Rhinolophus ferrumequinum: one gene and its partners. The main gene of each other region encodes a partner of the protein of the gene in region 3 in a complex. Links are inferred from orthologs where the notes say so. Each region holds a gene or a part of one and is shown on either strand. Other genes may lie near its edges. The genes, in order: ECSIT, TMEM186 and cytochrome c oxidase assembly factor 1 homolog.

What was found.
Region 1: cytochrome c oxidase assembly factor 1 homolog (region 3) and ECSIT share a complex: the UniProt entries of both Homo sapiens proteins name them as parts of the mitochondrial complex. The link is inferred for Rhinolophus ferrumequinum from reciprocal best matches to the Homo sapiens genes COA1 and ECSIT.
Region 2: cytochrome c oxidase assembly factor 1 homolog (region 3) and TMEM186 share a complex: the UniProt entries of both Homo sapiens proteins name them as parts of the mitochondrial complex. The link is inferred for Rhinolophus ferrumequinum from reciprocal best matches to the Homo sapiens genes COA1 and TMEM186.

What each region holds. Positions count from the first base shown.
Region 1 is NC_046301.1:39,075,716-39,079,464, forward strand, and holds the start of ECSIT (evolutionarily conserved signaling intermediate in Toll pathway, mitochondrial), read left to right. Parts: upstream 1-1,356; 5' UTR 1,357-1,362; coding exon 1,363-1,450; exon of another isoform or gene 1,451-1,458; intron 1,459-3,396; exon of another isoform or gene 3,397-3,514; intron 3,515-3,749.
Region 2 is NW_022680357.1:9,031,252-9,035,000, reverse strand, and holds the start of TMEM186 (transmembrane protein 186), read left to right. Parts: upstream 1-840; coding exon 841-1,104; intron 1,105-2,153; coding exon 2,154-2,789; 3' UTR 2,790-3,749. Other genes in the region: PMM2 (phosphomannomutase 2), read right to left, coding at 777-842. UniProt on the Homo sapiens protein: As part of the MCIA complex, required for efficient assembly of the mitochondrial complex I.
Region 3 is NC_046303.1:57,539,962-57,543,710, reverse strand, and holds the start of cytochrome c oxidase assembly factor 1 homolog, read left to right. Parts: upstream 1-732; 5' UTR 733-811; exon of another isoform or gene 812-834; intron 835-915; exon of another isoform or gene 916-1,090; intron 1,091-3,749. UniProt on the Homo sapiens protein: Component of the MITRAC (mitochondrial translation regulation assembly intermediate of cytochrome c oxidase complex) complex, that regulates cytochrome c oxidase assembly.

The DNA of each region.
Region 1 (3,749 bases), on a different chromosome or scaffold from region 3:
GCGAAGAGCAGGGGTGGGAGTGGTGTGGAGAACATCCTCCCTGGCCCAGCTGACTCATGGAGTGAGGTTGATTTTGATTTTCTCCTTGGAGAGCAGTTTGTACCGCCTGAGGGCGCTCATGGACAGGAAGAGGAGGGTGGACGGGCACCAGGGCAGGAGGTCAGGGCGGGGAGTGAAGGAGGAAAAGGGAGTTAGACCCAGGCCCTCAGGTCCCGCCCCGCACTTCCTGGAGGCATTTGCGTGACTCCAAGGTGCTTCTGAGCCCACGTGAGGCTGTGGAACACGCGCTGGCTGAGCGCTGTCATGCAGGGTGTCATGCGGGGTCTCTGGTCCCACTCCCCGCATTAGAATGCAGGATATGGTGAGGCCAAAAAGGAACACCCACGGAGCCATTATTGGGGAGTCATACCACTATATTCTCCCCAACTGCTGGGACGGAGACACAGGAAGTAGGAGCCACACTATCCTCAAACTGCCGTCCACTTCTCTCTGCCAACCAACCCCACTTGCTAGCTGCAATCAGCCATGCTAACTGCAATCCACTCTTGCTAGCTCAGCCACCGTCCTTTTGCTAGCCCCCATTTTCTGCTAGCGTAGCCACAGCAGTTACATTAGTGGCCAATGGCTCACTGGTTACAGCTGATGGCCAACTAGCCACAGCTGATGGCCAACTAGCCACAGCTGATAGCCATCCAATCACAGTTGATGGCCAGTTACTACCAGAGTGAGCACCTTTCCACATGAAGGTGAGAGCCTGGAAACTGCACTCCTGAGTCTATCCCCACAGCACCCAGAAGCTCATTTGGCGCAAGACAAAGTCAGGAGGCTGAACCACGGAAGAGGGGGGGAACCATAGGGATGGGCAGGTGTATTGCGCTGCAGCCACATCCACGCTCCAGGTACCTCCTATGTCCGACTGCCCAGCTCCTGTAGTCAGCGGGGCGGATGCCAGATACACCATCTCTACTGTCGCCCTGCCCGGAGGTAAAGGGATTATCCGGTGATCATGGACATGCTGCACAGAGGGGAGAAGTATAAATACAGGGACCCACACACTACATTTTTAACACGTTTGGGGATACTTGCACCCTTAATATTTCATTCCCACATTTCACGTGGGTAAACGGACCGCCAACTGGATTCACGGCCGTCCCCAAGTCCAGCCTCCCAACCCGGAAACGATCCTCTCACTCCTTCCCCGGCCATATTCCTCAATTCGCTTGGTCAGGGATGTGGCTTGCCTTGTTAGGGGTGGGGCCTAGCTCGTTACTAGGCGGTACCAAGGTCGATCTGCCTTCCTATTGGTGGTCATCCCCTTTGGACGGGACTTCTTTACACCGGCGTTCTTGATTTGCTGTGGCCATGGTGGTCCATGACCTGGAAGCTCTCCGGGCAACATGGCGGCGCCCAGCGGCAAGAGGCAGCTGGCTGGGATTCCGCGGCCACCCGTGTGAGTAGGTAGGTCGCGCGTGGGGAAGCGAGCGCGAACTGCAGGACCCCGGGGAGGCCCATTCTGGACCGGCAGCGCGGAAGGGCGGGCCCAGAGGGACCCGGCTGCAGAACCAGGGCACCATGACCTTTTAGGGTGCGGGGCTGGGACGTGCGGGGAAAGGCCTCCCTCTGTGCACCCGCCTCTTCCTGTCCTTAATTGCCCATTTTGCGGATGAGATAGCTGAGGCTCAGCGTGGTTAAGGACCTCTCCCGAGGTCACGCCGCAGGTCGGCAGCTAGGCTGGTATTCAAACCCCCATTTGCCCGTTTCTCCCAAGAAGCCCAGAATCCTGGCAGACGGTCTCAAAGCTGCTGTAGGTACACCTGGCTATGGGATTCAGATTTATGGATTATAGACGCTTTGTAGAAGTTTAGCTCTTCTTCGCATTCCACCGATACTTGTTAGGTACCTATCATTTACCAGGCACTGTTCCGGGTGCTGGAGACACAGCAATGAGGAGGACAGACAAAATCCGTCATCTCCTGGGGGCGGGGGGAGGGGCCAGACATTGAACAAGTCAGAAAGAAAGAGAACAGGTGATTTCAGATGCTACTAGGAGCTAAAAATGCATTTATCAGAGTGATGGAGGCTTTAGATAGGGAGTGGGGCAGCAGTGGTTAGGGAAGCCTCTAATTTGAATATAAACCTGAATGACCAGAGACACCTGTGGACCGATCGGGGGAAGAAATTTCCAAACAGAAGGAAAAGCAAGTGCAAAGGCTCTGAGACTATAATAAACTTAGCTTGTTTAAGATAGAGGTAGCTGGAGCTGTCAGTGGTAAGAGTTGAGTTTGGAAGGGTATACACTGTCTGATTTTATCTTAAGTAAGATATATCATTAGTAATTTTAGGCAGAGAATGCTGAACATAGTTCACGTTTTAAAAAGCTTCCTTTGGCCCAGGTTGGGAGAACTGACTGGAGACAAGTAAGGAAAGAAGTGGGAGGATGGGAAAGAGGCCCCTGGGTGTTGGCCTGCAGATGGAGAGAAGTGGATGCATTTGGGATGGATTTGGAAGTAGTCATCAGGACTATATGGATTGAATAGGGGAATAAGGGACACAGTGGACTCATCAGTGAATCCTAGGTTTGTGGTAGAATGACTAGGAATGATGGTGTCATTGGCTAGGATGGGGAGGAACAAGTGTAAGCAGGGATACAAATTAAGAGCACATTAAGTTTGAGATGGCTGAGTATATACCGAAGTGCAATTAGGTATGGAGGACGGTGCTCACAGCTGGCGATAAACATTTCGATTCATCTGCACATAGATCATCGTTTCTCAGACTTTAACACACATAGAAGAAACTTGGACTCTAGTTAAAATGCAGATTCTGATTCAGTAGGTCTGGGTTAGGGCTGAGATTTTGCATTTCTAATAAACTCCCAGATGATGATGCCAATGTAGCTGGTTCCTGGAACACACTTTGAGTAGTGAATGTTTCAATTAAGGTCTTAATCTTAGCTGTATATGAGAGTCACTCGCGTGTGCTAAAATGCTGGTGCCTGGGCCCTGCCTCTAGATATTCTGATTTAATATATCGGGAGTATGGCCTGGACATGGCAATTTTTTAAAGTTCCCTAGATGACTCTAACATGAACTGCCCACAGGAATACAAAGAACAGAGGAACAAGTTGAATGACACCTCAGAGTAGTAAACAGACAAATTCAGAATGTAGTACTCTTTGTAGCCTTCTTACTTAAAGTGTGGTCTTTAAGTAAGATCAGTAGCATTAGCATCACTCAGAAGTGTGTTAGATGTGTAAGAGTCTGGCTTCACACCAGAGCTGCTGAATCAGACTTAGCATTTTAACAAGATCCCGGGTGATTCGTCCACACATTCAAGTTTGCAAACATTGTAAACTTTAGAGAAGGAAGTGGATCTTGCTGATTAGCTGAGAAACAGACCTGGGTGCTAGGAAGAAAATCAAGATTGTCAAGAAGATGGTAGGAGGGCCTCACCCATGCCACATGCTACTGAGAACTCAAGCAAAATGAGGCCTGAGAAATAATCACTGGCTTTGGTAAGTTTAGAACACACAGGGACCTTTAATGGTGTTAGTGGAGTGTTTAGTGCAGCAGCCAAGTTGGAGTGAGTAGAACACAGTATGTAGACACCTCTCAGGAAAAGCTTTGCTGTAAAGGGAGCAGAGATGTGGAGCAGAGGCTGAAGGGAGACTTCAGGTCAAGATGAGAGATGCTAGAGAAAGTTTAAATAGTGATCAGAATAATCTAAACATTTCCCAATTCATTTGATGA
Region 2 (3,749 bases), on a different chromosome or scaffold from region 3:
GGTAAAGCTGAGAACCTACTAGGTCTTTTCCACCTGAAAACCTATGTGATATTTTCATAACAGGCTACAAAGCACAGCCCATAGGTGACAGGACTGAGGAGGGCACATGGCTGTAAGCGGGCTGAGCTGGGGTTCAAACCCAGGGCTTGCAGTGACAGTCCAGAACTGCGTTTTCCAACCCAATACAAGTTTCTTGCTCTCAAGAAATTTTCGGCCCTGTCCCATCTCCAAGTACCCTGAGTGATGCGACAGGTAAAGAGTTAACGGGAACGAGAGTTAACAGGAGCTTGAGAGTTAACAGGAACGAGCTTAAAAACTAACTGCTTGGCTCTGAATCCCCCCCAACCCCCAGCTAGCTGTGGGAATAGAACGGTTCCCAGAAGAAACCAATTATAACGGCAACCCCTGCAAGCTGACAAGCACCCCACATCCCTGCATAGAAAAAAGTAAAACTCCAACATAGCTTCTCATCGGTGCAGCAGTCTACTCTAGACTGCCCCCCCGCCCCCCGCAACTCCTCTGTCGGTGCTTCTCTCCTTAAATAAACAGACACCGGCTGCCGCCGGCTACTCTTTCGGCAGCCGCGCGCGACCACGATACTGAGGTCTTCCGTCTCATCCCTCCAGGTCCCCCACTATAGACTTCAGCTCCGCCAGAAAAGGTAGGCGGTCCTTAGCCCCCCCCGCCCCACGCACACCCTGGGGGGTCGTTAGCCCCATTAGGGAGCAGCAGGAGGCTCCGCAGCCTTTGCCTCCAGCCTGCCGGGCGTCGCCTACCTGCCGCGGAGCCGTCAGGGTCCCGTCCACGTCGAAGAGGCAGAGCGCCGGGCCGGGCAGAGCCATGTCCCCAGATTCCACACCGCATCTACTAGGACTCGCTGGCTCCGGAACCTCGGCCCGGAACTTCCGGGTTCGGCCTCCGTGCGGCAAGGCACGCTGGGAGGAGGAGAATCCCCTCCCACAGTGCCTGGGACTAGCTATTCTCACTGGACCACAAATCCCAGAATACAATGCGTCCACTGAGTCCTGCTTCGGCCGAGCATGCGCTCTTAGCGATCCCGGGGGCAGGTGGGATTCGCTTACGACAGCTGGCAGCAGAACCATGGTAAGAAGGAGGGTGGTGGGAACTGAGGGAATTGACGCGCTTTTGGGGTCGGAGTCAGGCCGACGCCTGGGGTTGTGATTCGGGGAAAGCGCGCGGGAGAGGCCTCCGGGGTGGGTTACGATTTCTTATTCCCGGGCTTCCTGTGCACTCAGGTCACGTGGGTCAACAATAGCAATAACTAAAACTCACTGTGTAGCAAGTTTATCAAGTCCATCAAGTGCATTTGAGGCCTTTAAAACCATTATCTCATTCAGTATGTTCTGAATCCCCATTTCAAAGATGAAGAAACTGAGGCCCAGAGAGGTGGAGTAACTTGTCCACGCATCCACAGCTAGTGACTTTAGGTGTCAGGATTGGAACCCAGATCTGTTGATTGGAACCTAGATCTGATTCCACAACCCAAAGCATCTTTCATTGCACTACTCAAGGTGTAGAACTGGGCCCCTGCTAAAATCCTTGTGCTTCCATCCTTCCCTCCTCTTCCATTCCTTCCCCCTCTCCAAACAAGGCTAAGAAAACACCCAGATGACTCTTTAACCTGACAAGAAAGTCAAAAAGTTATTATACTATATAGCTCACGAATTTGTTGTCCACAGGACATTGACTGTTTAGTTTCCTGCTTGGGGAAGTGTTCACATAGCCTTATAGTTCCAGCGCCCAGCCCAGAGTAGGCTCTCCCTAGGTATTTGTTAAATGAATGAAGGCTGCACCTCCTTTCCTATACCTACTTGAACTGCCTGGAGGAAAGAGGGCCAGTGTGAGAGTCAGACTCTGCCCCACTCACTAGCTGTGTGTCTTTGGGTAAATTTCTTACTTCTCTGGGCTTAGTTTCCTCACTGGTAAAGTGGAAGTAGTGGTTCCTGTCTCACACAGCTTTTGTGAAGATCACGTGAGGTAAAGCATCTGGGTTTACCTTTCCTCTGGCTTTGGCAATAGTGGTGACCTTACAGGGTTGGTGGGAGCCTCCATGTAAGATCTTTGCCGATGTTGGTTGTGTCACGGGCACGGTTGAGTTCTTTGAGAGAAATGGTCTCCTGTCTCCCTTCCAGGCTGTCCTGCTCCGAGCTGTGCCGCGGTGGCCAGGGCCAACCGTGTGGGGAAGGCCACTCTACCATCTGTGGTACCGCAGTGGGCAGGATCCTAGGAGGTGCGTGGGGAGCAGGTCGGCCACCTCGAAGGAGAGACCACTGGGCACAGAGACAGAGAAATTCCACATGGTCTACCGTTTGGATGCCATCAGAGCCTTTGGGTACTTGTCTCAGCTGAAGGTGGCACAGACGGCCCTGACGGTGGTGGCCCTGCCACCTGGCTTCTACTGGTACTCCCAGGGCCTCATGACTCTCAACTCCCTGTGCCTTGTGGGTGGGATAGCTGGCTTCGCCCTGACCATGCTGTGTTGGATGAGCTATTTCTTCCGGAGGCTGGTGGGTATCCTGTACCTGAACGAGTCAGGAACCGTGCTGCGGGTGGCCCACCTGACCTTTTGGGGCTGGCGGCAGGACACTTACTGCCCAGTGGCTGACATCATCCCCCTGGCAGAAACCCAGGACCGGCCTCAGGAGCTATTCGTGCGGATCCAGCAGTACAGTGGGAAGCAAACCTTCTATCTTACCCTGCGCTATGGACGCATCGTGGACAGAGAGCGTTTCACGCAGGTGTTTGGGGTGCTGGACACGCGCAACTGAACATCTGGACGCTGGGCTTCCGGGTAGCACTGGGCTGCCTGGATCTCTGACAGAAGCCTGAGGGTGTGAGTGAGGCTAAAGAAGGAGATCTGGCAGTTGGAGACTTTGCCAGGGCCCCTGGGAACTTGTGCTTTGGGATGAGAACGTTCACCAGGTGGATGCTAGTCACCTGGTTTAGGAAAGAGGCCCGTGGTGCAAATTCTTACTGCGCCGTCGGTGACGTTGGTAGGTAATGGCCAGAAGTGGCTGTTTTGGAGGAAGCTATGCCAACTTCACTCAGTACAGTGCAGTGAAGTGGGAAGAGAGGTGTGGCCAGGGGAGCATAGGACTAGGAGTCAGAAGACTTGGGTTCTGTTCTGTCTGTTCTCAACTCCCTGTCCTGGGGCAGGTAAGTCAGTCTCTGAACCTTGGTTTTGCATTTTTTAAATGGAAACTCCTGCCTGTCTTGTGAGATGGGTGTGAGAATAAACAATAAATGTCAAGTGCTTTGCAAACTCAACAGGTGGGAGCAAATATTAAGCGTTAGTTAATTCAGAGGTGATGGTGCAATGGACCCAGCAGGAGACGGGACTTGAGATGAAGCCTAGCGCTGGGTCCTTTCATTCTGCCAGGACAGTAGCTGCACAATGACTGGGGCAGCAGTGTCATCCCAGAGAGCACAGCACTCCTGCCGGGACCATGATCACTACCCAGAGGTCTAGGGGCTCTCACGTCAGACGCCTCTGTGGACTTTGTGTTCCTGGGCCAATTTTTGCCTAAAGAATAAGTTCTCAAGCCCTGGCTCCATGTGCCGAATCACCTGGAGAGCTATTTACAAATAGGTCCCCCAGGTGATTTTCATGTGTAGCCTGGGTCGATAGTCGCTGCCCCGAAGTGTCACCACACTGGGGGATGAGTGCTGGCTTCTCACCAGCCTTGACATGAAAACCTTCACGTCGACGTGTGATCTGCTCACGCAGT
Region 3 (3,749 bases):
ATATAAATGTTGAATAACTGGTGTACATCTGAAACTAATATTGTATGTTAGCTATATTTTAATAAAAATCTTTTTAAAAATGTAAATGATAATAGTGATGATGATGACCATGGAATGATCAAGATGAAAATAATAACAGCTAATGTTTACTGGGCACTTATGCAGTGCCAGGCACTATTCTAAGTACTTTACATACTCAAACCTATTAAGTAAATACTGTTATTACCCATTTTACTACTAAACTCCAAGCGAACAGAGATCATTAATTTTTTTCTTACCCCTGCATTCCCTGGAGCACCATAGGCAGTTAATACGTAAACATTTGGTAAATAAAATAAAATTTAGTATTGCTAAATTTTCAGCCGAAAGGAACAAGATGGACTTCAGTGCCATAGTGGATATCAGAGGGTTCGTGATTTCACTTCCTCCGGGATTTGCCAACGGCGAGGTCCCTGGGAGGGGCAATATAAGCCAGTGGTTTAAACGTCCTAAGCGGGCCCTGCTGCACCAAACCCATGATGTGGGCTACCAGGTTCCAGAAAACAAACAACGGAGATTTGACCAGAGGAATCCCTTCCGGCGCGCGTCCCAGCGTCTAGGAAGTTGAAGCCCGGTTGCCAAGGCGATCTCAACCTGGGATCAGCCTCCCAGTCACGGCGAATCCACTTTGGGCAAGCCGTGTCCGCGCCCTACGCTCTAGCCTCCGGAGGAGGAGACGCCGGAAGTCTCCACTGCTCTTCCGGGGCGGGCCCGCCCGCGGCCTTTTCCCGCCCACTCCCCACTTCCAGCAGGGATCTTCGCGCGTGCTGTGGTCTGTACGGCTCTCGCTGACGGGTTAGATTTCCCTGGGAGGAAGAGTCTGGGGATCTCCTACGCTCAGCAAGTTTGTTCAAGCGTTCCGGGTGGCTGCGTTTGCGTGAGAGTGTGCTGCTGCCAGGGAAGGCCCTCAAGGGTCGCCTCGGGGACGTTCGCGCCGCCACCGGGTGTGGCGCACCCTCCCTCGGCGGTGTGGTCGGTGCCTAGGCGGCCGCGGTGGGCTCCGCGCCTTGGGATTCTACTAGATGCTTTTACAACCCGGAGTTCTGAGGTTGTGTGTAGCTAACCTTGGCTTGTCCTGCAGTCCCTGCTAAGCGGTCCCAAGAGCACATTTGTGAAGCCGTTCTTCTGGGGGTCCTCTAGAAGAGGTGGAATTGGGCACTTTGTTGTTTGTCCTGTTACGTCACTCGGAGAACGACGCTGCCCAGATGATTGTAGAAGTTTCTGGTGCAGTGGTCATAATAATTTTGTCCAGAGCACACTTGAGCTCCTTATAGGGATGACTGTAGAAGTGATTTTCAGCGGCGCAGACGGTACCTGTGTGTGAGCGCGCGCGCCTTGTTATTTTAAAAATTTAAACATTTTAAAAATCTAAGAAGGTTCTTAAATTTTGATTCTTGCTACGCCTTATATCTTCTGCTAACTCTTACCCATTCTCACCTGAGCTGTATTGCTCTACTTCAAGGTATTCTATTGGTCTACTTCACCTTCAGATAGAAGTAGTAACTCTACTTAAACTTTTTTAAAAAAAATTAAAGGTTATGGGGGTGACAATTATTAGTAGTTACATAGATATCAGGTGTACAATTCTGTAACACATTATTTGTATCTCACATTGTGTGTTCACTGCCCAGAGTCAGTTCTCTTTCCATCACCATACATTAGACCCCTTTACATTCTTCTGGAGCCCTGCTGCCCGCTTACCCCTTACCCCCTGGTAACCCCAAAACTATTGTCTATGTCTATGAATTTTTGTTGTTTCAGTTGTCTGTCTTGTTCTTTTCTTGTTTTCGATTTATATACGACATACCAGTGAAATCATGTGGTTCTCTACTATTTCTGTCTGACTTATTTCACTTAGCATTATAATATCAAGATCCATCCATGTTGTCCCAAATGGTCCTATTTCATCTTTTCTTACCACCGAATAGTATTCCATTGTGTATATATACCACAACTTCTTTATCCATTCACCTATCGAAGGATATTTTGGTTGTTTCCATGTCTTGGCCACCTTACGTAAAGCTGCAATGAACATTGGAGCACACGTGTCTTTATGGATAAATGTTTTCAGATTTTTTGGGTAGATACCCAGGAGAGGGATTGCTGGGTCATATGGTAATTCTATTCTTAACTTTTTGAGGAACCTCCACACTGCCTTCCATAGCTGCTGCACCAGTCTGCATTCCCACCAACAGTGTATGAGGGTTCCTTTTTCTCCACAGCCTCTCCAACACTTTTTACTATTTGTCTTGTTAATGATAGCTATTTTGACTGGGGTGAGGTGATATCTCATTGTGGTTTTTATTTGCATTTCTCTGATGATTAGTGATGTTGAGCATTTTTTGATATGTCTATTTGCCATTTGTATGTCCTCTTTGGAGAAATGTCTCTTCAGGTCCTCTGCCCATTTTTCAATTGGGATGTTTGTTTTTTTGTTGTTGAGTTTCATGAGTTCCTTTTATAATTTTGCACATTTGCCCCTTATCGGAGGCACTGTTTGCAAAAACTTCTCCCATTCAGTTTGTTGCCTCTTTATTTTCTCAATGGTTTCTTTTGCTGTGCAGAAACTTTTAAGTTTGATATACACGTTCATTTATTTTAGTTTTTACTTCCTTTGCCTTTGGAGTCAAATTCATAAAATGCTCTTTGAACCCAAGGTCCATAAGTTTAGTACCTATGTTTTCTTCTATGCAGTTTGTTGTATCAGTTCTTATGCTTAAGTCTTTGATCCATTTTGAATTAATTTTGGTACATGGTGACAGATAGTAGTCCAGTCTCATTCTTTTGCACGTGGCTATCCAATTCTGCCAGCAGCATTTATTGAACAGGCTGTCTTTTCTCCATTGTATGTTTTTTGCTGCTTTGTCAAAAATTATCTGTCAGTATTTGTGGGGGTTTATTTCTGGGTTCTCAGTTCTATTCCATTGGTCTATGTGTCTGTTCTTCTGCCAATATCATGCTGTTTTGATTATTGTTGCCCTGTAGTACAAGCAAAAGTCAGGGAGTATGATACCTCCAGCATTGTTTTTTTTTTCTCTTAGGATTGCTTTAGCTATTTGGGGTCTTTTGTGGTTCCAAACAAATCTGATGATTTTTTGTTCTATTTCTTAAAAAATGCGATTGGGATTTTGACCGGGATTGCATTAAATCTGTATATTGCTTTGGGTAATATGGCCATTTTAACTATGTTGATTCTTCCAATTCATGAGCGCGGATGTTTTTCCATTTCTTTGTGTCTTCTTCAATTTCTTTTAAATATGTCTTATAGTGTTCAATATATAGATCTTTCACATCCTTGGTTAAGTTTATTCCTAGGTATTTTATTCTTTTTGCTGCAATTGCAAAAGGAATTGCTTTTTTTTTATTTCTTTTTTTGAGATTTTATTGTTAGTATATAGAAATGCAATGGACTTTTGTACGTTGATTTTGTAGCCAGCAACTTTACTGTATTCATTTGTTTCTAATAGTTTTTTGGTGGAGTCTTTAGGGTTTTTATATATATAGCATCATGTCATCTGCAAAGAGTGACAGTTTAACTTCTTTCTTCCCAATTCGGATGCCTTTTATTTCTTTCTCTTGCCTGATTGCTCTGGCGAGGACTTCCCACACTATGTTGAAAAGCAGAGGTGATAGGGGACAGCCCGATCGTGTTCCTGAACATAAAGTAATGGCTTCAGATTTTCACTGTTAATTATATTAGCTGAGGGTTT